Rattus norvegicus: one gene and its partners. The protein of the gene in region 1 interacts with the protein of each later gene in a biochemical or structural test. Links are inferred from orthologs where the notes say so. Each region holds a gene or a part of one and is shown in the gene's direction. Other genes may lie near its edges. The genes, in order: Mcm4, Dbf4, Mcmbp and Cdc7.

What was found.
Region 2: of the proteins of Mcm4 (region 1) and Dbf4, one has a biochemical effect on the other in vitro, tested with the Homo sapiens proteins (2 studies listed by BioGRID). The link is inferred for Rattus norvegicus from reciprocal best matches to the Homo sapiens genes MCM4 and DBF4.
Region 3: the proteins of Mcm4 (region 1) and Mcmbp form a complex in vitro, tested with the Homo sapiens proteins (2 studies listed by BioGRID). The link is inferred for Rattus norvegicus from reciprocal best matches to the Homo sapiens genes MCM4 and MCMBP.
Region 4: of the proteins of Mcm4 (region 1) and Cdc7, one has a biochemical effect on the other in vitro, tested with the Homo sapiens proteins (2 studies listed by BioGRID). The link is inferred for Rattus norvegicus from reciprocal best matches to the Homo sapiens genes MCM4 and CDC7.

Annotation. Positions count from the first base shown.
Region 1 is NC_086029.1:98,763,195-98,770,679, forward strand, and holds part of Mcm4 (DNA replication licensing factor MCM4), read left to right. Parts: intron 1-26; coding exon 27-188; intron 189-464; coding exon 465-628; intron 629-720; coding exon 721-822; intron 823-1,576; coding exon 1,577-1,672; intron 1,673-1,755; coding exon 1,756-1,851; intron 1,852-2,313; coding exon 2,314-2,452; intron 2,453-4,586; coding exon 4,587-4,807; intron 4,808-5,105; coding exon 5,106-5,226; intron 5,227-7,253; coding exon 7,254-7,485. UniProt on the Homo sapiens protein: Acts as a component of the MCM2-7 complex (MCM complex) which is the replicative helicase essential for 'once per cell cycle' DNA replication initiation and elongation in eukaryotic cells.
Region 2 is NC_086022.1:26,640,265-26,647,749, forward strand, and holds part of Dbf4 (protein DBF4 homolog A), read left to right. Parts: intron 1-21; coding exon 22-201; intron 202-1,883; coding exon 1,884-1,934; intron 1,935-3,380; coding exon 3,381-3,450; intron 3,451-3,644; coding exon 3,645-3,721; intron 3,722-5,949; coding exon 5,950-5,986; intron 5,987-6,078; exon of another isoform or gene 6,079-6,096; intron 6,097-6,883; coding exon 6,884-6,929; intron 6,930-7,485. UniProt on the Homo sapiens protein: Regulatory subunit for CDC7 which activates its kinase activity thereby playing a central role in DNA replication and cell proliferation. Required for progression of S phase.
Region 3 is NC_086019.1:192,710,779-192,718,263, reverse strand, and holds part of Mcmbp (mini-chromosome maintenance complex-binding protein), read left to right. Parts: intron 1-3,244; coding exon 3,245-3,423; intron 3,424-4,659; coding exon 4,660-4,783; intron 4,784-6,686; coding exon 6,687-6,804; intron 6,805-7,485. UniProt on the Homo sapiens protein: Associated component of the MCM complex that acts as a regulator of DNA replication.
Region 4 is NC_086032.1:2,954,851-2,962,335, reverse strand, and holds part of Cdc7 (cell division cycle 7-related protein kinase), read left to right. Parts: intron 1-1,274; coding exon 1,275-1,368; intron 1,369-1,451; coding exon 1,452-1,594; intron 1,595-2,301; coding exon 2,302-2,551; intron 2,552-3,110; coding exon 3,111-3,206; intron 3,207-3,974; coding exon 3,975-4,150; intron 4,151-4,973; coding exon 4,974-5,056; intron 5,057-6,929; coding exon 6,930-7,079; intron 7,080-7,485. UniProt on the Homo sapiens protein: Kinase involved in initiation of DNA replication. Phosphorylates critical substrates that regulate the G1/S phase transition and initiation of DNA replication, such as MCM proteins and CLASPIN.

The DNA of each region.
Region 1 (7,485 bases):
GTCTGTTTTGTTTTGTACGACGGAAGTTCGAAGTGAGGAAAGCCGATCATCTCCCAGTGGGAGACGTAGAGGCGAAGATTCTTCCACCGGAGAGTTGCTGCCAATGCCCACCTCACCAGGAGCAGACCTGCAGAGCCCAGCTGCACAGAATGCCTTGTTTTCCAGCCCTCCTCAGATGCATTCTTCAGGTGGGTTGGCTGTCGGTTTTGCTGTTTTAACAGTTGCTATAATACCTAGCATTCTCGTGTACACTGATAGAGTACACTGAAACACCTGGGAATGAAGCAGAGTTGGACCTAGTTAGGACCAAGTGAGCAAAGAAAGCATATTTTATAGTAGAACTACATTTTGGCTATGAAAGTTTTCAGTAAGTATTCTGTCTAAAATGGCAAACAGCATTCTGAAATTGGGATTTGATGTGCTGTGGGGATTTCGTGGTAAAGCTGAATATGTTGTTTTTATAGCTATTCCTTTGGAATTTGATGTTAGTTCGCCATTGACATATGGCACTCCCAGCTCTCGAGTGGAAGGAACCCCAAGAAGTGGGGTGAGAGGCACACCCATGAGGCAGAGGCCAGACCTGGGCTCAGCACGAAAGGGTTTGCAGGTGGATCTGCAGTCTGACGGAGTGAGTACAAAAGCAGATATCTGGTGACCTTATCTTGGGAGCGTAAAGTATGTCATTCTATTAACATGGTTCTATCCTATCTTTCTCTATAGGCAGCAGCAGAAGACACAGTAGCAAGTGAACAGTCTCTAGGCCAAAAGCTTGTGATTTGGGGAACAGACGTGAATGTGGCAACATGCAAAGAACATTTTCAGGTACTCTTATGTGCACTAAAACTCAGTGCACACTTTGGGAGAAGGTATAACTTATGTGTAAACAGCCATAACGTGTCACAGCAGGTTGTCAGTGGGTTAGAATTTATGCCTCAAAGGAGTCTGCCATGCACAACGTGCTGATATACTTTGTTTTCTTCTTAGTTCTTGCTATTTCAAGATGGTTTCTCTATGTACCTATCCCTGGCTGTCCTGGAGCTGCATTTGTAACCAGGCTAGCCTGAAATTCACGCATGCCTGTGCCTTCTTAAAGGTGCATACCACCATGATCAGCTAGGTGGTAAACTCTTAATCTCTTGAGCACTCGGGCAGAGGATTACTGAAAGTTCAAGGCCAGCTTGGGCTTTTTAGTGAGATCCCTGTCTCAAACCCAAAAAGGAGAAATTATTTTTTTTTACACATAGCTATATATTCAATTTTTTTCATGTATTTATTGCTGGGGTTGGGGAAGCATGTCATGAACAGCTTTTATGTGGAGGCCTGTTTGTAGAGGCTGGTTCTTTCCACCATGTGGATTCTGGAGATCAAACTGAGGTGGTCAGGCTTCTAATCAGGTATCCTTAGTTACGGGCCCTCTTGCTGGTCTCTCTCTCTCTCTCTCTCTCTCTCTCTCCCCCCCTCCCTCCCTCCCTCTCCCTCTCCCTCTCCCTTTCTCCCCCTCTCTCCCTCTCTCTCTCTTAATAATAGCTACATATCTTACACTCATTAAAACGTAATATTGTTTCTCTACATCAAGAGATTCCTTCAATGTTTTACTGATCCTCTGGCCAAAGAAGAAGAAAATGTTGGCATAGATATTACGCAACCTTTGTACATGCAACGACTTGGAGAGGTAATCAAATATGATTTACAAGTGAAAGTTTTATATTTTGAGATAATACGATTAGTAAAATATGACGTACGTGTATCTTACAGATTAATATTACAGGAGAGCCATTTTTAAATGTGAACTGTGAACACATAAAATCATTTGGCAAAAACTTGTATAGACAGCTCATCTCCTACCCACAGGTAAGAATTTGACTTTGAGCTTCCTGATTAACGTAAATGTTTACCAAGAATGTTCCTGGCAAGCAGAATTATATTTTGGTAAAAAGGATACTAGCAAAGGTTGACTATTTCTTAAAGCAGACTGTTTTTCTACAATTAATAGGAGGAGTACTTTTTTTATATTTACTAATTGGTAATGCTTCTTAAAAATAATGAACCTTACTAGTGGTTTCTTGGGTTTTATGGGAGGGGGTGTTAATTGAAAGCCTGTGAGGCAGGGGAATGTTCAAAAGTAGTTTTGTAGTTGAAGAGAACTTGAACTCCTGATTCTGTGGAACTCAGAAGAGGAGTTGGAGTTAAGGGTGCTTAGGAGCCACCTGATCAAAGTGCTGAGACCTGAATCCTGTTGCCTAACAGAGCAACAAATGCTCTCAACTCTGAGTCATCTCTTCGTCCCCTACATCTTGCTGTTTGTTTTCACAGGAGGTTATACCAACCTTTGACATGGCTGTCAATGAGATCTTCTTTGACCGTTATCCTGACTCCATCTTAGAACATCAGATTCAAGTCAGACCTTTTAATGCATTGAAGACAAAGAGTATGAGAAACTTGAATCCAGAAGGTAATATGTTTAGTATAGAGAAATGCCTTATGTAGAAAGAGATCTCAAGGTTTGTGTGGTGGGTAACGATAGCATTAGATTAGAAGTTGAAAAGATTTCTTCTGTATACTTTTATCAACTTAGTATGCATTTTTTTAACTTAACTGGAATACCTGATAGAAATGACTTAACAATTCATTAACTGTAAAATTAATTTATCCAAATATAATAAATCCCTAGCTCGTAGGTGCACTTTTTTAGTCACTGAAGAAAAATACTAAAAGCCAGCAAGGCAGCTCAGCTAGAAAAGCAGTTGCTGAGCAAACCTGATGATCTGAGCTCTCCTTAAACTTAAGAAAATTCTAGCTTGGGGGGTAAAGAAAGCAGGAGCAGAAGATAAGTGTCTGTTTATGCCTTAGGGAATAGACAAAGTCCTGAACCTATAAAGGAAAAGTTGGTTGTGAAAGATAATAGAGTTTGATAAGTGAATGTGATAGAATTTCTTTTAGATAACAGAAAGCAAGGATAAAATAGAAAATGCTGTTTGCATCTGTGGCTGGCTGAAGCAAGGATTTGTGAGACAGGGTTTGGGACCCAAAAAGCTAGCTCTAGAAAGCTTAGAATCCCAACAAAGAATTTAAATTTTATTTCAAAGTAAATAGGGAAATTTTAGAAGAGAAAGATTTTCCACTCGTGTAATTCAGTGAAGCACATGACATATAAATTCATTTAGATTCTGATGGTGGCTCAATTATGAGACATTAGCATCTTAACTTGGACAGGTCAGAATTATGTGTTTCCATGTGTGAAGTTTGTAGTGTAAATTAGTGTAGATCACTCATCCATGTGTGAACCTTTAAAAAAGGTAGTAAGGGAGATAGCTACTAGGTAAAATCATACTTTTATTTTAAAAAATCTTACTTCTGGAAAGAAGAATGGCTGAGTGATCAGCTAATTTCAGAAGTTGGCACATTGCATATAAATTTTAAGGGAAGGAGGGGAGGGTTAGCCCAGAGTGGCAAACAAGAAAATGGATGAAATATATTTAAAGGCCTTGTGAGGAGCACTGTGTACTGGTGGGACAGGAGGGCCTTTGAGTCCAGCAGAGGTGTTAAGGAAGGAGCAACTAGAGGAGAGGCATAAAAGCAAGAGTAGAAATGGAAAGCAAAAGTGTAAAAGAAGCTTGTTTTATAGATAGTGTTACTGATAGGCAAAGTGCTTTTTTTCTCGTAGGCACTAACTATAAAAATAGATGTGTATATTTATGATGTCCTCAGCTATGTCCTTGCTTCATTTGGTAGGTGTCAGAAAAGGAGGCTCAGAGTATCCTCGGGGTCATAAATGCTTTGTCCATGTTGTCTAGACTGTTCTTGTATACAAGGACATGCTGTGCAAGCCAGAGGAAATGTAGGGTATCATTTCTCAATTGCTATCCAGCTTTTTTGATTGTTAATGACAGGGTTTTTCACTCAGCAACTAGACTAGACTGTCTGGCTGCCTAGCAAGCCCTAAAAATTCTGGTTTCTCCTCACTGCTGTTGAAATTATAAGCAGACCCTCCCCATACCACAAGCATTTTCAGCCCAAGATTTTTACCTGAGATTTCAGGTCTTCCAGGTGGTTTTGTGGATGAGATGAAAGGCTGGGAGACAATATACCTACACATCAAACTTCTCACCTGTTGATGTCTTCTAAGCAGTACACCTAAGGAACAAAGGGCCAGACGGGGGCCAGCAGTTAGCCAACAAGATGGCTTAATGGGTAAAGATGCTGAAACTGACCACATGGGTTAGATTCCTAGCACTCACATAGTACAAGAGAGCTGACTTCCATAAATTGTCTTCTGATCTCCACACTTGCACTGTGGCATGCATGTGCTCATATACTGAGAGAGGGAAGGGGAGCAGAAAGAGAAAGAGAATAAAATAAAAAGTTCAGAAGTATACTGGTGCTGAGAGGAAAGCAGGCTGGACATAGGTAGAGCATCCTAGGCTAGTTCTGAGGATACTAACCAGCTGATTCTGCTGATGGTGCATGCTGGATCTCTGGTCATCTATACTTCTACTTGAGTTGAGATTCTGCTTTAGTGGCAGACCCAGGCCTGGGTGGGCTGAGGGAAGTGGCTGGTGGACAAGCCAACTTTTCTTCCTTTACAGACATTGATCAGCTCATCACCATCAGTGGCATGGTTATCAGAACGTCACAGCTGATTCCCGAGATGCAGGAGGCCTTTTTCCAGTGCCAAGTCTGTGCCCATACCACCCGGGTAGAGATGGACCGAGGCCGAATTGCTGAGCCCTGCACTTGCGTACACTGCCACACTACCCACAGTATGGCACTGATCCACAACCGTTCACTATTCTCTGACAAGCAGATGGTACGTGGCCCCTCTGCACCCATGATAAGGTTCTCCAACACACACTGCTACCTGTGTCCTGCCTCTCTGTAAATCCTCAGCCAAATTTAGTTTGTCAGTTCACCCTCAACCCTCCTTGGTAGAACTCTGCTCTTTCCATTTTTGTTGGTTTTACTAGTGACTTGAATTTAGAGAACACTGAGGCTTTAGTATTGCTATACTATGTCTCAAACATCGTATAAGCACTATACAGAGACCTGTAATTATTTTCCATGTTTTTTTGTTTGTTTCTTGAATTTTTCTCTTTACTCTTCTTCAGATCAAGCTTCAAGAGTCTCCTGAAGATATGCCTGCTGGGCAGACACCTCACACTGTTGTCCTTTTTGCCCACAATGATCTTGTAGACAAGGTTCAGCCAGGGGACAGAGTGAATGTCACAGGTAAGAATGTAGATTTGTAACAAAAAGGCAAAAGTTATGCTGTGGTTTACTACTATTTAACCCTTTAAGTTCTCAGATGCAGGTTTTAAAATCAGGGTCCTGGTGGGTCCTTGCCATGTAGATCTATCTCTCAGAACTTTGCATATGTCTCAGATTGGTAATGTTGATGTCACAAGAGCAGCATTAGGGAGTATTTATTTAGTAACTCAAGGACAGAAAGCCAACTGGGGTTCATAAATGCATGTTTTTCTACTATTTCCTACGTGTACAGGTAAGGGTTAACATTACTTAGAGAGTAGGACAGAACACTTTACATATAGCAAGCTATTGCTGACTTTTTGACTTGCAATTCATTGCTGCATAATTTGTGTTTCTAGATTCTAAATGCTGTCTCTTCATGCAGAAACTGTCCTGTCTTCAATGCTATTTGCATGTGGCAGACTTTCTACATTTTGGAGGAATGTTGTGGGTACTTGGTCAAGGGTGATGGGTTGAGTGACAACATTGTTCTTCATGGGGATTTGAATCCAAGGATCCCTGACTTCTGAGTCTGGGGCTCACTGACCCAGCTACCCAGTAAGTCAGGATTTCTTCCCCAACATAAGAGAGCCCTACAATCCAATTTTGCCCCCACCCCTTGCCCTTAGTTTTCCCTCCAGTGCTCTTATCACCTACAGGAACAAACCGGAGTGTTCAAAATGTCATTAATAATCTAGTTCACATTCCTCCGTGAGTAAAGTGTAATTGTTACATAAGTGCTGGGGGTTTTTTTTGAAATTTTGTATATTGGGGTGAAAAAACAGGGAATTAGCTTATAGAAGTCTTCTTCTTCTTCCACATTGGGACCTGAGGATTGATTCAGGCTTGGTGGCAATTGATTCAGGCTTTACCTGCTGAAGCATCTCACTAGCGCTATAAGCTGGTTTTCTATTTTTAATGAGAATTACATTGTTTTGTTAAAGGATCATGATCTGTGCTATAAGGATGAGGCGATCAGGCTTAGTCCTCAAAAGGTAGAGAAATGGTCCAGGGGATCAAGGTACATGCCATGCAATTCTGATGACCTGAGTTCCTTCCCTTAGTCCTACATGATGGAAGGAGAGAACCAGTTCCCAAAAGTATCCACTCACCTCCACACACCACACCCTGGCACATGCGTGCAAACACACAAGCGTCTTATACACTAATAATAAATTAAAGATTTTATTTTTTTAAGAAACAGGAAATAAAATTATTGTGAAGTTCAAAGCTAGTTTGAAACCCAAAGAAGAGCATCAGATATACCAGTTTAATAAAACCTTCCTTAGAGATTGTATACATTTAGAGTGGTTAAAGTATTATTTACCACTTAATTTCTCTGAATTACCTTCTTTGGGGTGATGGTGGCATGCAGTAGCAGGGGTCAAGCCCAAGGCTTTGCATATATTAGGCGAATGTTCTGCTGTGAACTCTATCTCCAGCCCTTAATTAGATTCATGAGAAGATATGCAGAAAATATCCTTTCTCTAGTATTAGTCCTAAATTGTCATTTTCCCTTCACCTTTAAGTAGTCTGTCTTGCTATTCGTAAAATTGCTTTCTAAAGATTTGGGTTTTTAGGGTTTTTGCTTCCAAGTTTTTGGTATGGGCTTTAGTATTTTGTTCAGCCAATTACTAAGTAAATTCTTTTTACTTTTAGCTTAAGGAAATGACATTACTATATTAAATACTGTCATGACACAGCCTTTTTGTTATTCATTTTGCACCTACAATTGTGTACTGAATAGTTATGCAGATAATTCCCTAAGCTCATATAACACAGGTGATTACAAATATGATTTTGGATCTGTTCTTAAAAACCTGTTTCTTCCCCACCTTGGCCATTTCTTGCGTGTCTTGACTTCTGAATGGAAGCCTTAGCCTGGAAGACTAAGGTAGTGGGTGCTCAAGTGAGATGGAGCCCCTAGGTACTGCACATTGCCTCTGCTGACCACTGAGCTTACAGAAGAGAAGTGGAAAGGTAGTTGTGTCTCCTCTCTATGTTCTTAGGCATATATCGAGCAGTACCTATTCGAGTTAATCCAAGAGTGAGCAACGTGAAGTCTGTCTATAAAACCCACATTGATGTCATCCATTATCGGAAAACGGATGCAAAACGTCTGCATGGCCTTGATGAAGAAGCAGAACAGAAACTTTTTTCAGAGAAACGTGTGAAATTGCTTAAGGAACTTTCCAGGAAGCCAGATATTTATGAGCGGCTTGCTTCAGCCTTGGCTCCCAG
Region 2 (7,485 bases), on another chromosome or scaffold:
AAATACTTTGTTTTCTTCTAGCGAGTTGAAGAATTTCTCAGCAAAGATATCAGTTATCTTGTTTCAAATAAAAAGGAAGCAAAGTATGCACAAACGTTGGGTCGAGTTTCTCCTGTACCAAGTCCGGAATCTGCATATACTGCGGAAACCACCTCCCCTCATCCCAGCCATGATGGAAGCTCCTTTAAGTCTCAAGACAGAGTAAGTGTGTCATCGATGCTTTGAGACCTCATGGCTTTCTTTTTGTTTTAAGACAAGGTCTCACAATGTAGCCCTCTCAGACTGGTCTTGAACTCTCCCTATGTAGTCCAAACAGACCTCACAATTCTCATTCCTCCTGCCTTAGTGTCTCCCAGGTCCTGGGCTTACAAATGCTTTCCCTCACACCTGACTCTGGGCTTTCGGTAGCAGGGTTACAATGCATAGGTGGAATGGTTATAATGCCAAAGATCTGTGGCTTTCTCGCCTAATTTTGCTGTCATTTTGAAAGGTGATTATTTTTCCTTAATAACACAGTAGTCAAGTTGTCCCCTGATTCTTAAAGCATGCACTTACAATTTAGACAGGTTGCTTTTGATTTTTAGAATAATTTACAGCAAAAGTAAATAGCCAGCCATTCTTTTGAAGAAAAATAGAAACTTTTAAAACTTTCAAAGTAGATAAACCAGCCATCTACAGTGTACTGACTGACTGTGCACAACCTTGAAGTTAAGCATATTTTTACATATCCAGAGGTTGGTGGGGGGAAAAAATCAAAATAGTATTTTGTGACAAGTAGAAAATATTTGTGTAAATATTGTATAAATGTTAGGGCTGCTTGCATGCTTTAGGTGGAATTTAGTCTTTGTGACAAATATTATGTGGTCTACAAGGCCTACAGTGGTATACATTTGTCCCATTGCATAAAAATAGTTTTGATCCATGCTTAAAATTTTTCTTGCAGTACATTTCTTTCAAATTGGAAGACAAAAGGAAGGGCAAACTGATATAAATACTTAGAAAAGACAGTAAGAGATAAAACGCTTAATGTACCTAAGTTGTTATACTAATATAATTAAATTGGCATTTGAAGCAGAGCCACATGAAAAGCAGTTGAAATGCACAGGAAACATGAATTGCAAAGGCAGTCTGTGAGGAAAGGCGGACACTAGGTCAGGCTTGTGCTGTTCAGTGAGAATGACTACAACTGCTTCATAGCCTTCCAACCACTGTTTGTGCTGCCTTACTTTAAAGGTGAAATAATTTATAAAAGCTGTGTATAACATTTATTTTTCTTAAATCTTCATTTAATATAAAGCTAAGCCAGGCCTGTTGGCCCAGCTCCTTAGGAATGTGAGGCAAGAGAATTACAAGTTCAGGGTAGTTAGAACAACTTAGTGAGACCAAATCTAAAGTTAAGGTTTGAGAAGCATTGGGGATACAGCTCAGTTGTAGAATGCTGCTAGAATGTACCACCAAAAAGGAAAAAGAATCAAATCTGATGTTAACCTGAAAAGTGTAGATTTTTTTTTCTTTTTCCTGAGACAGATTCTCATGTAATTCAGGCTGGCCACAAATTTGCTATATAGCTTGACTTTAAAGTGTCAGTGGCTGTTAGCTATTTTCATTTACTAAAGAATTGGTCCTCTTGAGTCTCATTCAGTTTCTGCTTTTCTTTTTGCTTGGTATGTTTGTTGATGTTCTCTGCCCTGGAAAAAAAAAAAAAGAGGGAAAAAATTTCAATTGTCGTGCCAAGAGAATAATGAAGCCACTTTTCACTGTAAATTTACTGTGTTCATAGCCATTGGAACAATATAAACAACACTTATCTACTTTCAGGGATTTCTCTCTTCTAACTTTCTCTCTGATGAAGTACTGTAATTATTTCCTTGGTCTTCTTACAGGTGTGTTTGAGCCGAGGAAAGTTGTTAGCTGAGAAAGCTGTCAAGGATCATGTGAGTAGGACTTTGGAATTCACAGCGTGCGGGCTTCAGCTGGAGCTCAGCTGGGACAGTGCTGGTCTAGCACGTGAGATCCTTAGCTCTTCATAAGCCAGGCATAGCAGCATACACCTGTCCTAACAACTCCAGGGAGCGAGAGGACTAGAAGTTCAAGGACAGCCTCAGATACATAAGGGATTCAACACCAGCCAGAGCTAGAAACATCCAGGGACAGGGAAGAAGTAAAAACACGTGATGCATATTTTGCTTCTTTAGTGTCTTATTTTCTGAGACAGTTTCTCATGTAATTTAGGCTGGCCTCAAATTTGCTATATATCTTGACTTCCAAGTGCTGCCATTATTGATATATGCTGTCATATATAATAGGTGTACTGCTATATTTTATTAAAAATTTAATTGTGGGCTGGCTAGGAGACTCAGTGGGTAAAGCTGCTTGCTGCCAAAACTAGTGACCTTAGGTTGATACCTAGGACCCAGATGGCAGAAGAGAAAAACTGACTTGCAAATTGTCTTCTCATGTCCAAGTGTGCACTCTGGTGTGTGTGCACTGATACACATACACACAAGCAAACATACATATAGAGTAAGTAAATGTAATAAATACTCATGGAACTGGTAATAAAGTTGGCAAAATGCTTGTCATGAAAACAGTAGAACCTAAATTTGGATGCCCAAAAGCCACATCAAAAGTGAAGAGCCAGGCATGGCGAGATGTGCCTCTGATCCTAGCACTAGTGTTTTGGGAGGGCGAGGGTAAGACCCATGGGTCCCTAAAGGTAGTTGGCCAGTCAGCCTAGCTGAATCAGTGACTTTCAGTTTCAGCAAGTGACTCTATCTAAAAAATTTAAAGTGGGGAGATTGAAAGACATTTGGCATTGACCTCAGGCCTCTGCGTCACATAGACATGTATACACCACATACACAAAATTTTTAATTGAAAGTTGAAGATATTCTGGAGATACTCCAGAATATATAATTTTTAATGAAAAAAGCTCAAGTTACAGCATATCTCATTCTGTCAGAAATAGAAACTTATTTTTCCTGGAGGAACACCCCCATCTTGTGGTCATGCTAAACATTACTGTAAACTTTAAGTTACCTTAGAATAAACATCTAATTGTTAAGAATATACACTAATTGTTAGGCCAAGCACAACAGGTATACCTTTATTCCCAACACTTGAAAGGCAGAGATGGGGATTTCTGACTTCCTGGCCAGCCAGGGCTACAAAGCAAGACCTTGTTTCAAACAAAACAGGAATATATTAATTGGAAACGATTTAAGAATGCCAAAATATAAAACAGGGTCCTCATTTCTATTGTAATTCATTAGGGACATTTATGCATAATCTCTTCAGTGGCATTAAGATTTAAATAAATTTTAAGATTTTAAAAAGTTTTAAAAATAGTTTTTAGACAAACTTGTTTTTTTGTTTTACAGGATTTTATTCCTGCTAATAGTATATTATCAAACGCCTTATCATGGGGAGTAAAGATTCTTCATATTGATGGTAAGATGGTCTTTTGACAATATTTGTTGTACATACCTATGTCTGTCCTTTGGGTCTTAGCTTTACATATAAAAATTTTGGTAGAAGGGGAGTATCTCCAATGTTAAACCCTTAACGTGAGGTTACTGCCACTTAACATCGCAGATTAACTCTAAAGGTAAAATTGCTAACCTTCAGTTCTTCTTTCAATAAAGACATTCGCTACTACATTGAACAGAAGAAGAAAGCTTTGGGTGCACTCAAGAAACCAAATACTTCTGGGAGGGATTCGGTATGTAGTTTGAACTATTCTTAAAGGCGGCAGCCTGGTTTTTGTTTTTGTTGTTTGTGTGTTTGTTTTTAATATCTATGAGTAATTCCCCCATAAGTAAAAAATTGGTTTCTGAATTGTGTGTCATTTGACTTGAAGCTTATATTCATGAAGTAAAAACTGTTTTGGGGGTAAGAGCATAGGTTTTTTTCATCCTTTTTTGTTGCTGCTATATTTTAAGAGATATTTTGTTTATTCTGTAGAAGAACACTAAGATTAGCCTATCATATAAGAAAATCCAAAGGTGTTTGCTATTGTGATTGTCCTATTGTTCTCCTATCCTCGGAGCGTACAGTCTTTCCTGTTTTCATCTTCAAGGCCTCTATACAGAGTCACTGTCTACACACTAGACTCTCTGATTGTACACCCCTGTCTAACTACTGTTCCATCCGTATACTCCATTTCTTACTGTTCTGCAGATCTCTGCTCCTATATTTCTCACTCACTTTTAACTGACAAGGTATGGAACTCAGAAGCAGTTAGCATATCCTTTGCTTCCTTTCAAAGCCAGCTGTGTTGGTTTTCCTGTGTTGCCCAGTCCTTCCTTGAACTCTTTGCTTCTCCCTGTTCTCTCTTATTTCTCGGACCATTCTTTGTTGGTTTGTTTTTACTGCATAAATTCTTAAACGACTTACATACAAAGAAAAGAAAGTTCTGTGCTCTGGCACATAGAAAGAAGGAGACAAAGTAGTTAGGAAATTTGGTAATTTCATGTAGCAGAATAAGCAGCTTGCACTTCAGGACTCCAGCAACACCAGGGACTTGTATCTGAGGTAGTGTCCATTGAGATTTCCCCCTCTTCCGGTTAGAAATGGGTATTAGGCATTATCTTTGTATGTACCGGCACCTTTGTCACTTACGTTCTGCTACTGAGTCCACCCAGAAACTTTTGCATTTTGAGTGCCATACCCCTTTGATTCCTGTTCAGTATAAATCTTTTAAGTATCTTTTATGTGGTTAATTTTGGCTACACACAAGAAATTGCCAATGTTGTGTAGATTCCTTACCTATTACAATAGTTAGACAAGACTGATTTTGTTTTTGCTGTTGCTGGTTTGTTTTGGTTGGTTTTGTTTTGTTTTGTTTTTGAGGCAAGGTCTTACCAAGGTAGCTCTAGCTGTCCTGGAACTCACTCTGTGGATCAGGCTGGCCTCAAACTCACTGAGCTCCATCTGCCTCTGCCTTCCGAGTGCTGGGATGAGGGTTGTGCACCACCGTGCCTGGCAGTACTGCTGTGTTAACAGCTTTGTTTTTGTCCAGATTGTAAATTCTGTCCTGAATTTATGGCTGCCTGCAGTTTTTAAAGACTTGCAGCGCTGGAGTTGTGGGTTTGTCTTGAGATTTGGGTAGTGATTAAATCTTAGCTCCACTTCCAAAGCCCTTCCTGTGCTCACACTTTGGATCTTCTTGCAGCTTGGGCAATGTTGATGCTGAGTTCGACCCAGCACGTGTGTAGATTAGGGAGCTAGGGATGCCCTTCTCCAGCTTCCTCCTTAATCCTCTACTCATGGATCTCTCCCCGACCTCCTCATGGAGGTGACTGAGGATTTCCCGTACTGCCCACACTACTGCCCGAACTACATTTTGGAGGGCACACACAGGACAACTGGAAGAAAAAAAATAGAGATTTCTCTGGGCTACTGGAGCCTCTTTCCTTATTTCTCTAGTGAAAAAGATGAAGTTAGTGTAATTTTTAAGCTATTCACTGTGACATCTTTATTACTTTAGGTCCTAAATGTGATACACCTGACACTAAAATCTGCTTCCTCCTTAAGATTTTGCTATACCTGTGTAGTGGCTCACTGGGTGCTATTGAGAGTTTAGTTGTAGTCAGTGCATTGACTCACCTGCAGGTATGCATTTCACATAGGTCTGCACTGTTAACTGTACCCTTTCCATTCTAATTAATGTTAAAGGCTCAGTGATCAGTACCAGCGTCACCACTCTCCAACAGAGGGTGTAAAGTGGGCTGAATTCTGTAGAGATGATCAGTACCTTTAATTCTTGAGTGCCATTCAGTTATTTGGTTGAATTGATTTTAAGAAGCATGATTTTCACCCTGTACAATAGCCATCCTGCTTTGATAAAGTATTTTTCCTATACATTTTTTTTCTCTTGAAAGTACTGGACAGTTTTTTCTGTGTTTTTAAACCCAATATTTTCACTTTATTTGTTTTCTTTTTTTAAAGGGGAAAAAAGCTGGTACTGGAATACAAAAAGCAAGAAGTAAGTATTCCTGATACATTGTTTAATTTTCTTTTATAGATTAGAAAAAAATTAAACATGAAGATTAAAGCTTGGGCCCTTCTAACTCAATGATAGAGCACTTACCACAGGTACATGATACCCTAAGTCTAACCTCCAGGATACCCAAATGTATGTATTTAGAAAGCTTTTCTGAGGTAAAGTTCTTTAAACGATTTCTTAGTAATTTGTAGAACATGGACGTTTACTGTTTTAGACAGTCTGGTGACACTTAAGCTATTCTTCCCCATGTTAATAATTTTGTAAAGATGCTTTATTATAGGTGTGGGAGGAGTTTGAGTACATTATTACAGATGTTCAAACAAGATAGAAAACGGTGTTGGGTCCCTAGAGATGAAGTTGTAGCAGTTGTTAGTCTGACATAGGTGCTAGAAACTGAGTCCTCTACAAGATTGTTCATGCCCTCCATTGCTGAGCTCCATCTCCAACCCCGAAATTAATATCTTCAAAACTGTTTTTAAAAATGTATTATAGTCCCAGAAGAAACAACTACTCAAATCCATTTACTGGGATGAACATAAAGATTATTTTGAGATAGCTTTTTAGTGTGAAAATATTCACACTGAATATTTTGTTGAGCTGTGCCATTCAGCTTAAGAATCTCATATGGTTGGCACCAATGCATGGGTCTGCAGTCCCAGCACCGCAGAGACCAAGGCTGGAGTATGGAAACTACTGCCCAGCCTGCCGCAGTCCAGATTACAAAATCCAAAACAAATCTCAGCATGTGATATGGAAGATATTTTACCTGAGGCCTACACTTTTCAACTCTCTGGGTGTAAAGGTTTTCTAGATGCTTTAACCACAATAGACTCTTTACTGATGTGCAACTGTCTAATGGTATTTTCTCTTCTTAAGCAGGGAGACTCAAGAAGCCGTTTTTAAAGGTTGAAGATGTGAACCGGTAAGTGTCAGAGTCCAGTGTGTTGGAAACTGAGTTGGGACTATAGAGGAAGTATGAAGGAAAAATACTGCATTATTTGATGTACACAAATTATTCAGAATACTCAGATTTGGTCACTGGTGGTTGCACAGGGTTGGAAGGAAATAGAGGGGTGTGGGGTTTTTACTTTTGCAAGGTATAAGAACTGTGGTGATGCTTTCACAGCTTAATGTTTGACGTGACTAAACTGTACAGTTTCAAAAAGTATCTAGAGCAGAGCAGTGCTTCCCTACCTGTAGTTGACAACTCCCAGTGGATTGAACAACTCTTTCAGAGTTTCCTAAGACCATTGGAAAACATTATTTATAATACGATTCATAACAGTTTCAAAATTAGTTATAAAGTAGCAACAAAATTAGTTTTATGGTTGGGGTCACCACAACATGAACTGTTAAAGAATCTCAGCATTAGGAAGGTTGAGAACCACTGCTCTGGAGGCTGGGAAAGTAATTATAAAACTTTTAATGCTCAACGTGACTATAAACTGTACTAAATAGTTTAGACTATAAACTGTTTT
Region 3 (7,485 bases), on another chromosome or scaffold:
GAAAAGCTTGTATCTTGCACTCTCTCCCAGAGTAATAATATAACCATAAAACTCAAAGTCACACCCATTATGAAGATTAAACAATTTTAAAAAAGGAAGTAAGCTAAACAATGAGCCTGATAGGCTTCTGTACTCTGTGATATCAGGAAATTAACCCAAAATTCCTGTGGAGCCCACGTTAAGAGAATCTGAGTTTCCTGTTGTGGTAAATATCAAAAATAACCACAAACCCTCCCTAGCCGGCATCAACGAGCCATATGGCCTTTAGCAGATTAATTCATAAAACAAACTAAACACGTATCAACTCTAATATCAATAAGCAACTTATCAAACTAGGACTTTAGCCCAAACTATATCCATCTGTTAAGCTGTCTACCCAGAGCCACAGATTTTTATTTAACCTTAATAACTTGTAAATATCACAATACTCTACTTGGAGTCAGGACTAATTTTTCCCTAACTAAGTTCTGAACCATGGATGAAAATCCCCACGTGATAGGATAATCTCTGTACTCTCCTTAAAACAAACTGAATCACCTTCAGATAACACCTGTCTTTAAGAAGTAGCTTGTCTAACTTAGGATTTCAACTCAAAATTCCCGCGGAGCCCATGCTATAAGGAATATGAGTATCCTGAAAGACTTTCTTTACAACTTTCTTTAAAAAGCAGCTTTTAATCTCTAACTCTCTGAGCTGCCATTACTTATCACATAACAGGGAACCTATTAGGCCTTTCCTTTGTTTAAGGTTCCTGCGTTTGGGCCATCATGTGATTCAACATGTCGCTGGTCCCCTCTTACTTAGAAAATAAAACTTTCAACTCTTAGGATTACTAGTGGATTCTCGGCAATCACGCTGGTTCGCCATCTGTTGTTGTAAAATTGTAAAAGAGCTGTTTTTTACCCCACTAGGTCTGTCACCACAGTGCCCCAAGATATCTGATAGATATCTTGCTGGAAACACACATCCCAACTCCATGGTGGCCCAGTGTCTCTGCCACCACACACTCTCCCAAACTAAATTCTCCACAAGAAAGAACACAACATAATAACCTCTGATCCAATTGATAAGATATAATTGCCCACCTAAACATACAAAGCCCTATACACATCTATCCCTTAAAAATATTCATAACAACCTGTAAATACACAGAGTGGAATCTTTACATCCATGTTCTCTCAGCAGCTTCTCTTCCAGTCTCCTCCAGTCTCCGTCCTTTCCGTTCCAGTCTCCTCCTCTTCCCTCAAACTTTTCTCCTGCCCATCCTCTATTTCTATATTTTCTGTAAGAAACTATGAATTTGCACACACATAATCTCAGCACTTAGACGGTTGAGGCAGAAAAAATTGAGCCTGGGCTGTGTAATGTAGGAGGACCTTCTCAAAAAAGAAAAAGCCCTGAGTTCACACACATTCAATACAAGCTGTCGTTCTAATTTCTTCCTACTGTAGTTGCCCACCTGTCGCCCTTGGTGTGTTCTACAGTGCACACAGAAGGGACTTAAAGGCCAGCAGTGCCACCATCGAAAGAGCCTCATCCTTAGAAGCTCTGTGTGCCCAGTGTCTTTGTTTTCCTTTTTCGTCTTCTCAGACAGCGTGTTACTATGTGCATCAGGCTGGCCGCAAACGTGTCAGTTCTCCTGCCTCTGCCTGCAGCATGCCAGGACTACAGGTCTACACCGGCATCCAGTACCCCATTTTTTAGAGTGAGGCTTTGTATGCAGAGTGCTGCCCTCCACAATGGCCCCTTTTGATTCTGGTATTCCTTTTGTGTAGGTCATTTGTGTAGTCACATTTCACTTCCCAGCTCTTCTGTATCCCTGCCTCATGACTATGCGATTCCAGAAGTGCCCAAGAATCGTCTTTGTGTGTTCCACAGCTCTTTTGGTCTCTCACTGCTGGGACCCAGCTTCCTAGTCTCTGGCTGTCCCTCCTGTGTTTGTACATAGCTGTCCATGTATGTTCATCACAGTCCTTTTTCCTTCAGGAGGGTATTGTGTATTTGTGTGGTCTGGACCAGACGTGGTGACGTAGACCTTGCTCCATCTTTCCTTTTGCCAAAGGGAAGGAAGGTGCCACCAGCTCACTTACAGCAGGCCTGTCATCGGCCTTCTACATACAGAGCAAAAGGGAAGGAAGGTGCCACCAGCTCACTTACAGCAGGCCCGTCATCAGCCTTCTACATACAGAGCAAAAGGGAAGGAAGGTGCCACCAGCTCACTTACAGCAGGCCCATCATCGGCCTTCTACATACAGAGCAAGAGCCCAATAATCTTCATACTTAAAAATACTGGGAAAGCCAGGCATGGTTGCATGAGCCTTAACTATCAGCTCTCCAGAGGCATAGGCAGGCAGACCTATGAGTTAAGGCTAGCCTGTTCTGCATAGTGAATTCCAGGATGGTCAGGACTGCATAGTGAGACCCTATCTCATAAACAGAAGAAAGAAAAAGAAAAAAAGGAAACAACCACAACACCAAAATGTTGGCAAATATTTTCTTGTTGTCTCAAGTGTAGCCATGGCTAGCCTGGAATTCACTCTGTAGCCCAGTCTGGCCTCTGCCTCCCTAATGCTAGGGTCGTAAAGGTGTGTGTCATCACAACCAACAGTTTGCCTTGTAAATTACTTGACCACTGAGGCCTCTTGGCTCAGAGGGGAAGGGCACAGACTGGGGCAGATTTGGGAGCAAATTTGTGAACTTGTCTCGTGAGATCTGACAGTTTGTATAGTGTTGAAGACTTCGCACACTTTAGTCATTTGTGCAGTGACTCCAGAATGAGTATCATGTTTGTTGATTAGCAAGCCTGAATGTTCACACTCTTCTAATCACTTGCTCACACTTTCAAGAAGTATCACATCAGAATAAAGTTACGCAAAGACCATTAGCAAGATAAAAGTGAGTGGTCTCCACACTAAGTAATAAAGACCTGTGGATTTTGGAGAAAAAGATCCCAGTGTCGTTACCTGCTGAGAATGCAAGGAGCATCTGCTTTGACATGGTCTTCTGAGTGACATCCTCTGTCATGTACACGGCACCACCCATGGCAGTAAGTCAGACACCCAGTCTTGGCAGTAGAATAAACCCAGTGACTGTACGCTGACCTGGCAGGTGTGAGTGATAAAAGCACTTTAGAGTGAGGGACAGAGAACCCCTCGAATAGGATTCTGAGTTGTCTACAGAGTGCATTTACTTTTACACTTTTGCTAGTTGACATCTCTAAACCAATGTATCCCTCTCTCCCCAGGGATGCCTCTGCACTGCTGGACCCCATGGAATGCACGGACATGGCCGAAGAGCAGAGAGTGCATAGCCCTCCCGCTTCACTAGTGCCAAGAATTCACGTGATTTTAGCCCAGAAGCTGCAGCACATCAATCCATTGTTACCCACTTGCCTTAACAAGGAGGAGAGCAGAACCTGTCAGTGTGAGTGTTGGGGCCTACCGATGGCAGGTTCCCTGTGTGAACTGCAGTCCCTGCTCAGCACAGGGAGTTTTCTAGTCATGTCTGTGGGAGATGAGACCTAAACGACGAAGGGTATAGATTGTCTTTGTTCTCACGTCTATGTCACTTTCTAATTTTTTTAAATTTTATTTAATCTTTTTTTTTACACTCCAGATTTTATCCCCCCTCCTCATTTACCCTCTGACTGGTGCACATCGAATACCCCCCAAACCTCTCCCCCTCACGTCTCCATGAAGATGTCCCCATCCCACCCCCTACCCCACCAGACCAACCCCACTCTCCCTGGAGCCTCCAGTTTCTTGAGGCTTAGGTGCATCTTCTCTGATTGAACCCAGACTGGCAGTCCTCTGCTGTACATGTGTCGGAGGCCTCATCTCAGCTGGTCTGTGCTGCCTGGTTGGTGGTCCAGTGTCTGAGAGATCTCAGGGGTCCAACTTAATTGAAACTGCAGGTGCTCCTACAGGGTTACCCTCCTCCTCAGCTTCCTCCAGCTTTTTCCTAATTCTACCACAGGGGTCAGCAGCTTCTGTCCATTGTTGGGTGTAAATATCTGCATCTGACTCTTTCAGCTGCTTGTTGGGTCTTTCAGAGGACAGTCATGATAGGTCCTTTTTTGTGAGCATCCCATAGTCTCAGTAATAGCGTCAGGCCTTGGTGCCTCTCCTTGATCTAGATTCTACTTTGGGCCTGTTGCTGGACCTCCTTTTCCTCAGGCTTTTCCCCATTTTTGTCCCTGTAGATTTTTCAGACAGGAACAATTATGAGTCAAGAGTTTTTGACTGGGATGCCAACCCCATCCCACTTGATGTCCTGTCTTTCTGCTGGAGGTGACTGTACAAGTTCTCTCTCCCCACTGTAGGGCATTTATTTCATCTCAGGTCCCTTCCTTTAAATCCTGAGAGTCTCTTACCTCCTAGATCTCTGGCATATTCTGGAGGGTCCTCCCACTGAGGAAGAGTAGAATATGCGTGTGTCAGGGCACAGATGTGGAGGTAAAAGAAAAACTTAGAAAATCCACCTCTCCTGCTGCTGTATGGGTCCTGGGGATCAAGCTTAGGTCATCAGACTTGGTGGCAAATGCCTTTACCCTCTGAGCCATCTTGCCTTACCCTAATGGCATCATTGTCTCAAGAATTGTAGTACTCCCTCCTGCTCTTGTACGTGCACACTCTCATTGGCCATTCCTTCCTTCTGCAGTTGTGTCCAATTTCATGTCCGAGTTGTCTCCAGTCAGAGCAGAGCTGCTTGGATTCCTCACTCATGCACTCTTGGGAGACAGTTTGGCTGCTGAATACCTTATATTGCATCTCATCTCCACCGTGTAAGTCTGTGCTCTTCCTGGGAACTGGGGTGTGGGAGAAAGAAGGGAACAGCCGTGATGTTTGTTTGTGTCTTTTAGTAAATCAGCTTTGTCTTCAAGTGGGTTTTTACAAATGCTGCACCAAACACAGACTCCTTTCCCCACTTTACTTCGTTTCACATAACGCATTTGTTTCCGTCTCCAGATGGGATGTGACTGATGAGTAAGACGAACTGTTGGTTTCTCTGCACTCGTTTTATTTTTTATTTTGTATATACTTCAAATGTTGTATCTCCTGGTCTCCTCCCTATACCCTGTTTGCTTGTTTATGTGTGTATACTTCTCCAGGCTCTGCTTATAAAACAATGAAGTCTGTCTTTGTGTACATTTAGTTTGTGTATTGACTTTAATGCTTCCACCCTGTTTTGGTTCAATTTTTTATTTTGTTTTTGTTTGTTTGTTTTTGTTTTGAGACATGTTTTTTGTTTGTTTTGTTTTTGGCTTGTTTGTTTGTTTGTTTGTTTAGCCTTGCTCGTCTTTAGCTCTGTAGACTAGACTAACGTCGAACTCACAGGTCTCTTCCAGCCTCTGCCTCAAGTGCTGGAATTAGAAGTGCACACCACACACCCAGCTAGGGCCTGGCCTTTCACTCCACCATATTGGGTTTTTGGGTTGGTTTGGGATTTGTTTTTGTTTTTGTTTTGTTTTTTGTTTTTTTGTTTTTTGTTTTGTTTTTTTTTGTTGTTGTTGTTGTTGTTGAGACAGGGTGTCTTGGAGCTGTCTTGGAACTCACTCTGTAGACCAGGCTTCCCTTGAACTCAGAGATCCGTCCACCTGCCTCTGCCTCCTGAGTGCTGAGATTAAAGCACCACTACCTGGCAGGTTTTTTGGTTTTTTTTCCCCCCCAAAAAGAAAAGCAAGAAGAAAATTATCTTTCACGTGGGCAACAGTTTTCCCATCTAATACTCGAGCATATTCTTTGGTTTATGTTGTAATGTGGGCCCATCAGTTGTGGTTGAAGCACACACATCCTTACCTGCTTTTTAGATTTAATATTTAGTTAGCCTATCACAATACTTTTTTTTTTTTTCTCTCTTTGAGATAGGTTTTGTTATGTAGTCCTGGCCTAGAATGTTCTATGTAGACCAGGCTGGCCTGGAACTACATCAAGATCCTTCAGCTTCTGTCTCCTGGGTGCTAGGATTAAGGGCATGCCACCATAGTCAGCCTTCTTCCTAAGCTTTCTAATGACCTGATGTTCTCTCATTATAGATTTGTGCCATACTGTAACCATTTCCCAAAACATTAGGATTTTGTACTTTTTTTAATAAATGCTGTGATAGAAAGCATCTTATCTCCTGTCCCCTGGTGGCAGCTAAGATGGCGGGTAATGCTCAGGGTCACATCAGAGCTCTGTCTTGGCTTGACTAGACATCCCTCATGGAAAAGCACGGAACTCAGGAAGTCTGCCGTGCCTGCGTCATAGGCACACTGTTGAAGTGAGATGGTGAGGCAGTGACCACCAGCTCATGTCAGCCAGGCCTAGCCAGTAAATCTGCAAATGTTGTAAAGCACTTCAGGTCTCAGCATTTTGGATAAGGGATGCTCTCCCCATTCCTCAAAGTGGCTATTATTTAACTGCCGTTCTGATAGATAAAAAATGTCTATTTTTACCTTATATGTATGGCTATTTTGTCTGCATATCTGTGCATGCAGTGCCTGTAGAAGTCAGAAGACGGCATCTTCCTAGAACTGGAGTTACAGGCGGTTGTGAGCTATTCCGTGGGCCTGGGACTTGAACCCTGGTCCTCTGGAAGAGCAGCCAGTGCTCTAACTACTAAGCCATCTCTCTGCTTCTGCAAACTTTATAATGATGGCGTCTCAGTATCTTACCCTTGGTTTTGTGTTCTTTCCCTTCTCCTAGGTATACAAGAAGAGATGTACTTCCACTGGGAAAATTTACAGTTAACCTGAGTGGTTGCCCACAGAACAGCACCTTCACGGAACACCTATATCGGATCATCCAACATCTTGTTCCAGCAGTAAGATAATATTATGAAGGCTTATGAGTGGGACAAACCCAATTGTTTTCCACTCACCTTGAGTATTAACTTTATGTTCCTAGTGGGTCTCATTTACAAAGGACAAGACCTGCCAATTGACATAATTTAAAATGCACCCAGCATTCACTGATTGACCCAGCACAAATCTGTAATCTAAAAATTAACGCAGTGGCAGTGACTCCCTTAGAATTACGTTTCCAGTCTGTGTGAGTTTGTTCCTTTGTGTGCATATTATGAAGTGTAAAGAAGCTTTAAATCATAGGAGCCTGGTTCTCTCAGCTGAGGTAATAAAGTGGCCCATCTCCACGCCCCAGGGCTTGTTGCTATCTGGAAGCATCTGGAATGCACATTTGTGTCAGGATCTCAAGGACCGGATTTACTCTGATAACTAAAAATTTTGGCCACTTTGGGACTTAAGAAGTGAAGCCAGGTCCTTCTGAACAGCCTGTCGAGTCTGCACTTCAAGCCCTGCAGAAGCAGCAGAGTCCTGAGGATTTTGAGCCTCTTATTCAGTGGGCTGTGCTTTCACTAATGTCTGACATTAGTAATTAAGACTGAAGACATGTTGAGTAATTCATTAGGAAATAGTGGTAAAACTGACAGTGTCTTGCATTTTGCCGTGCTCTTGAGTGTCTAAATTAATAGACTATTTTGGTTAAA
Region 4 (7,485 bases), on another chromosome or scaffold:
AGGTCCAGCACTTTGAGTAAGATGTATGTCTAGAGGAAACTCCTGCATATACACCATAACTCCCACCCCCCTTCCCCTCCCACCCCTCATACTTCCCTCCCAGAGCTGAGGACCGAACCCAGGGCCTTGCATTTGCTAGGCAAGTGCTCTACCACTGAGCTAAATCCCCAACCCCTACACCATACTTTTGTGAACTGTTCTGTGTACCCACTCTACACCCTTTCTCCCTTTAGAAAACAGACAGGCAAAAGAAGACCAGGTATGGTGACATACGCCTTTAATCTCAGGAGTTGGGAGTTAGAGACAGGTGTCTGAGTTCTAGACCAGACTGGTATACAGTGAGTTCCAGAACAGCCAGAACTACATTGAGAGACCCTGTCTCAAAAAACAAAATAAACGCACAAAATACACACACACACACACACACACACACACACACACACACACACACACACACACACACGGTCAGAAACCATAGCACACAGGGCAAAGACTATTAAGAACAAAACAGAACAAAACCCAAACAAAACAATGTGTGTCTATAAAAATGAGTGAAGCCTTTGTTGTTGTGCTGTTGTGTTGGCCGTCTGCTGCTGGGTAGGGCCTGCCTTCCCTGTGGTCAGTACCCCGGAGACTCGGTTGGTTGCATGTGGTTAGTATACCTGTGAGACTCCGTTGGGGAAGGCTAATTTCCTTTGCAAGCAGGTGCCAGTTGCAGGAGAGTCTCCTCGTTAGGGGTGGGAGCCCATATCTTACCCCGCAGTGCTGGACCCCATCTGGTTTGGACTTGTGTGTGCTGCCCCAGCTTCTGTGAATTTATGCATGTTTCAGTATTATATCTGGAAGAGTCTGTTTTCTTGGAGTCATCCATCCCCTCTGGCTCTTAAATTTTCTGCTCTTCCGTATAGCTCTCTGGGCTGACAGAAGAGGTTTGAGGATGTCAGGCTGAGTATTAATAGGTGTAAAATGCTTAGACCAAAGCTTGGCTGGTCATGGAGATGGTCAGGGGGTGTTACTAGGCGTATCGCATCTGCTGATAACTCGTGTTATCTGCAGATATTTCATGTTTGCATTGTTAGAGTGGCCTTGTAGCTGGTGCTATTTTAGTTTGAAAATTTTATCTTTTATATGTCAGTTAAATGCTTATATTCATGAATGTGATTTTGCGTCTTCTAGTAGTGAGTACATGTACATTGCACAACTAATTCTTTTTAAGGCATAAAGTTACGGTGCGTTCGACCTTCCCTCTAAGGTTCATGTGCATTTTCCACCAGGGGGCAGGACAATGTCATGGGAGTGAAGTACTGCTTCAGGAAGAACGACCATGTGGTGATTGCTATGCCCTACCTGGAACATGAGTCTTTTCTGGTAGGTTTTAATCGTTTTTAACTTTAATCAGCTAAATGGTTAAATTGAAACAATTTGTGATGTGGTTCATAACTCTCTTTTAGGACATTTTGAATTCTCTTTCCTTTCAAGAAGTTCGAGAATATATGTTCAACCTTTTCGTAGCTCTGAAGCGGATTCACCAGTTTGGCATTGTTCACCGTGATGTGAAGCCCAGTAACTTTTTATACAATAGACGCCTGAAAAAGTGAGTGCCAAGAGTCCAGGAAGCGCTGGCATCGGGTTCACGCTGCGGAGCCCATCTCTGAGACGCAGTGTTCTCAGTGTGACTGGGGAGGGGGAATGGAATGAAGAAAGTGAGATTGTGTTAGGAACATGATGCGCATCCTGAGAGACGAACTTAGGTGGAAGGAATTGGAGCCTGGCCTGTTTTGACCTTTGACCTTGTTTTTATTTTTGTTTTAATGAGAATGTTGGATCACATAATCCATTTTCTGTGTGAAAACCAAAGTTATTACATGAGTATTTTTGTTGATTCTATATGGACACGACCTTATAAATATCATACTTAGGTATGGTAAGGACTTAAAAGTATTCACTGGCCCTTGTTTAGTTAGAAATTTTCTGCTGTTGCGCCATCTTCCCTGCTACAAGGCAGGGTTCTGTCGTTTGTCTCTGCTGAGTCCTCTTCTGCTAAGTCCTCTTCTGCCTCGTCTTGGTGCAGGCCAGGGAGCAGCAGACAGCACTCGGCCGGTTGGTTCAAGGACACAGCTTTAATGTCCAGCCTTAGCTATTAAGTTCTTGGGAATTTTTAGTTTTTCTTTTTTTAAAGAATATTATACATTCTTAATTGTTCTAGAATGAAGTATAGTTTTGGATGTGATTTGACAACATCACAATGTTATTAAGATTGAATCTCTCTAGGAGGGTGATAATACTCGATTTGCTTCTAAGGTATGCCTTGGTGGACTTCGGTTTGGCCCAAGGAACCCGTGACACAAAGATAGAGCTGCTCAAGTTTGTCCAGTCTGAAGCTCAGCAGGAAGATTGTTCACGAAACAAATGTCATGGAGTCATTGGACACAAGGGCCCACTGAGTCGCCCAGCACCTAAAAATGTGGATCAGCACATCACCACAAAAACTTCTGTCAAAAGATCCTATGCAAACGCACAGATTCACATTAAGCAAGGAAAAGACGGAAAGGTTCTACCTTTTACATTTTCAATAAGAACGATTTAGGAATGTTTCCCATCAACCAACAGAGGGAGACCTAATACTAGGAGAGCACTTAGGGTTAAGAAGCCTTTGCAAACCTACATTACATGTTTTAGTTGGTTAGTACTGAGTGTTACTGAATCAATATCCTTTGTTTAAACTGAAATGTTCTACTCTATCAGCTTATGGTTTGCAGTTATAGATTACATTATATGATAAAACAAAAATTCATGTTATAGAATTTAAATTAGATGTCTCCCCTCTCTCTTTAAAGAGCATTATTACAGGGGAAATTCTGAAATGTCTGTCTCCATTTTGGCTGTCCAGGAAGATGAAGCGCCTGTGCGGGTGGCCTTAAAGTTCTTAGTGTCGTGGGTGTGCACTGTGGTGACGTGGTGTGGGTGCCGAGCTTTGCCTAGACTGTGTCTCCTCTCTGTGCCCGAGTGCCTGGGATGTCTTTAGTCTTTCAAAACTGTGGCAGAGGACAGCTGGCAGAAAGTGTTACAGATCTAACCCTTAACTCTCCTTGTCTCTGTTGGTATTGTAGGAGGGGTCTGTAGGCCTTTCTGTCCAGCGCTCTGTTTTTGGAGAAAGAAATTTCAATATACACAGCTCCATTTCACATGAGAGCCCTGCAGAGAAAGTAAGTAATGTAGCTTCCTAGCCCAGCTGTCAGTCAGCCGCACGGACCGCTCAGTCAGCGAGTCCACTGGGGTAGCGCCTGTTTGGCTTTGGCAGAGGCACTGCTACTTCACACGTTTACTCAGAATTCAGTCTTCAGTCTTTCACAGACTCCTTTGGGTGGAGTTTTTTATTTTGATTATCTATTACCATTCTTTCTCTAGAGAACAGTCAGAACAAGGTTGGGCTTCCCACGTGAGCTCCCAGGCCTCCCAGTTCCCACAGTCAGTGCCCTCAGGTCGGATGGTTTCCAGTTGGCGAAGGCACCTGTGATGAGCAGCAGGCTGGTGTGGGCAGTGTAACTGCAGGCGACGGTTGTGACATGGAGTCAGACCTCAGTGATTAGTAACTGTTAGTACTGGTACAGTGTTTCCTGCTGTATCGGGAAGTGTTCTACTACAGTGTTAAATGTTTGCCAATATAATAGTAATTTTTAATATTATTTGTCAGAAAACCCAAAAAAGTTTTTACACATTTTTTTTTTTTGAGACACAGGGTTTTTTTTTTACATAGCTTAAACTGTCATCAAACTTGGAATCCTCCTGCCTCAGCCTCCCTAGTTGTGCTGTTATTAACCATGTAGAACCATGTTCAGTGGCCTTAAAATGTGTTTAGACTTGCAATCTGGTAGTACCCTCAGCAGTTCTGAGTGAAGCTCATGCTTCTGACGCTGCTTGTAATGTGCTCACACTGGAAGGCATCGTGTTGAGTGTCACAACTTCTTTTGTAGCTCATCAAGCAATCGAAGACTGTGGACATAATGTCAAGAAAGCTAGCAACAAAAAAGATGGCCGTTTCTACAAAGGCTGTGAATAGCTCGATGAGGGACTCTGCCAGGTCCTGCCCAGCTGCCCTCACGTGCGACTGCTATGGAACAGATAGAGTGTGCAGCGTTTGCCTGTCGAGGTAACATGCTCCTGCCATGCTGGAGAGTCATGGCAAATGACTGGGATACTGGTTTGTGAGTGAGAGGGAGTGACAGAGGCCCTAGTCACGGCAGTGCAGTGAGCAGACAGCTTGGCACGTACTCAATGGGCGAAACCACTTTCTCTGGAAATCACAGTTGCTGAGTGCAGCTGGATGGGTAGGACCCCTGGAGACCTTTGTTTGCAGATGGCATTGTTTCTGCCCTCTCCACCCTGCCTGCACTCAGTAACCAGGACAAGGATGCGTCTCTTCAGACGTTGTTTTCACAGATCTTTCCTGATTAACTAAAATCTACACGTGAATGAGTATATCAGTAACTCAGGACTCCAAACAAGAGTTTTTATATGAATTCCTGTCAAGTTATATTTTTCTATTATGTTTTTTATTATCTGCCATCTGTTTTTATACTTGGAAATTGTGTTGAAATCTGTCTGGGACAAGGCCAGGGCATAAGGATTAGGCCAGGGTGTGGAGGTTGGGGAATAAATGTTTATCACATTAAGTTTTCATTGCTTATAGGAATTTTATTTATACTGCTACCAGGACAGGATTTTGTGTGAACTAAATTAATAGCTTACATAGGGATTTTTGTTCTCTCTCTCTCTCTCTCTCTCTCTCTCTCTCTCTCTCTCTGTGTGTGTGTGTGTGTGTGTGTGTGTGTGTGTGTGTGTGTGTGTGTGTGTTTGAAACAGGGTCTCTAAGTAGCCCTGGCTGTCCCAGAACTATTTATGTAGGCGAGGCTAGCCTCTGTCTTCCAAGTCCAACTTCAGCATAACTGGCTGTCTTATTTCTTCCTCTTAAGGCGGCAGCAGGTTGCCCCTAGGGCAGGCACACCAGGATTCAGAGCGCCAGAGGTCCTGACAAAGTGTCCTGACCAGACTACAGGTACAGAGCTGGAGAAGGGCCCTGCTCTCACCCTGCAGAGGGCTTCTCAGACGATGTGTTTCTTTATGCAACTTCTGATCTTAATGCTGCTTTTTAAAAATAACCCCCACCCCACTCCACCCTATAGATTATATTTGTTCAGACTATCTGAAAGATAATTTCACAGAGAATTCTTGCTGTCAGCTGTCAGGGACACTGTATATTCAGTCTTTTTCTTTTTTCTTTTAGTTTTTGGTCAGGGTTAGAATCGCAGTGCTCACCTGTTTACTTAGTACTTTGGAAATTCTCTGTGGTATAGGTGGAGTTTTTCTTTTTCCTTTTTTTTCTTCCATGAAAATAATATAATAGCAGTTAACATATTTTGAAAAGGGTAAAAGGTTACTAGAGTCCAAAAAGCTATAGAGCCTAGGAGACTCTGAGTTAAATGAGCAGCGGCTCCTGCGGGTCCTTGGCTCCACTGTGCACCTGCCTTGCTGTCATGCTGTAGAATGAGCACAGCTGTCCCCATTCTCGTTAGGACACACATGCTCATGAGCACAAAATGACCTGTCAAACGTGCTGACGCTCTTAGGGCATTGAGGAGCGTCTGTCACCCCAAGGGTTGTGAAAGGAAGGTCGTGCGATAGAAAAGGCACCTGAGGAAAGCCTATCCAGTCAGAGATTGGCATTGAGCAGGGCCCAAGAGCCTCAAGAAACAGCATCTCTGAGGGGGAGGCCATGAGTAGTGTTGTTAGTACAAAGGGGAGTCAGGAGACGTTCGATGTGCACCGAGTGACTGCTGGGACTGTGTGCCATAGCTGCTGTTCAGGGGGAGAGAGAATGGCTGCGTCCTAGGAGGCCAGTGCAGGGAGAGTAGATTCTGCAGGCTAGTATCCTGCCGGGGTCCAGCTGAGGTGAGGAGGGCCTGGGTGCACACGTTTGTAATAAGAATGAAAATGAAGGTGAGCAGATGGCAGACAAGCCAAGAAGGTGCTGCGTGTGGACACTCATGGTGGGCTGAAGGGAAAGCTCTCGGAATGTTCACAGTACTGGCTTGAGGGACATGGGCGTGTGCCCAGAAACAAGACAGGATGACCAAGAGCCTGGTCAGAGCAGAGGTAGAACTGCACTGAGCCGTGGCTGGGTTGAGATCTGTGGCACATCCAGATGGATTGTCCTACAGAGCAAGAGGTCAGTGTGGAGCCCAGGGAAGGAGCCCGGGAAGAAACACAGTCTAGCATGGGTAAAGGAGGGAAGTAGACGGGAGAATGCATGGCGAAGAGATTGGACTCTGAGGAGCCTCAGCTCTGACTGAGCAGACAGTGATTCAAATGAAACTAAGAGAGGGCAGTGCTGAGTGGCCAGGAGAACTCCAAGCACGTAACACTAGGGTGTTAGGAGAAAGGTCAGGTCAGCCTGGCTTTGTTTCTGCTCAGGTGCTAGGGCTCAAAGCCAGGCTTGTAGCTGTGCTGTTGTCAATGCTCAGTGTGTCTCACTGAATGGAAGATATGTATCTACCAAGTCACCATCTTGAAGAACATCCAGACTTCTTCACATATAGCTCTTGTTGAATTTGTTTTGACCCTATAAAATGTACATTTACTTTCAGTTCTCTAATGATGAGCTATTTCTAATCCAGCAGCGTGCTCAAGAGAGAAAACTGCTCTGCAGAAAGAGTGTTGAGCTAGGGTTGTGGTCGCACTTTAGAGTCTCCCAAGAACCTTCAGTATCTATTCCATAAGTATTTGAGGGAGTTCTGATGGATTGAGCCTGGGTGTCTTAACTTGGGCTTCTCAGATGCTGTTAGCTCTCAGTCAAGTCCTGCAGCTACTGGTTTAGGTGATCATACATTGAGAACTTCGGGCTAGTTTTTAAAGTATGTTTTCTGTCACAGCGATTGACATGTGGTCTGCAGGTGTCATATTCCTTTCCTTGCTCAGTGGGCGGTACCCGTTTTACAAGGCCAGCGATGACTTAACTGCTTTGGCCCAAATCATGACAATTCGAGGATCCAGGGAAACTATCCAGGCTGCTAAAGCTTTTGGTAAGTTTTAAATCCTAGAACAAGCAGATGCTTTTGATTGTCGCCTATAAATTGCTAAATAAATGTTACAAAATTCCCCTTACAAGTAAGCTTACTCAGTATTCATGTATGTACCCTTAGGAAATCATTCACTTGCTTGAAAACAGTTACTTTGTTTAAACAGTTATTGTTTACAGTAGAGTGCCGTGTGCCAGCACACACAGCACTAGTGACTGGTGTGTAAGAGTAGACAGTCTGTACACTACAGAGTGCTGTGTGTGTACACTAGTGTTTAAGGCTGAACTTTACATTCCTTTTTCTTTGTCAGCTTTGTAATCTGTGTCTTCCATTGTAATTAGCTTTTATTCTGTACATTTTTATAGTAAGTTTAAGTCTGTTGTATATTAAGCATTGTACTTGGCCCTGA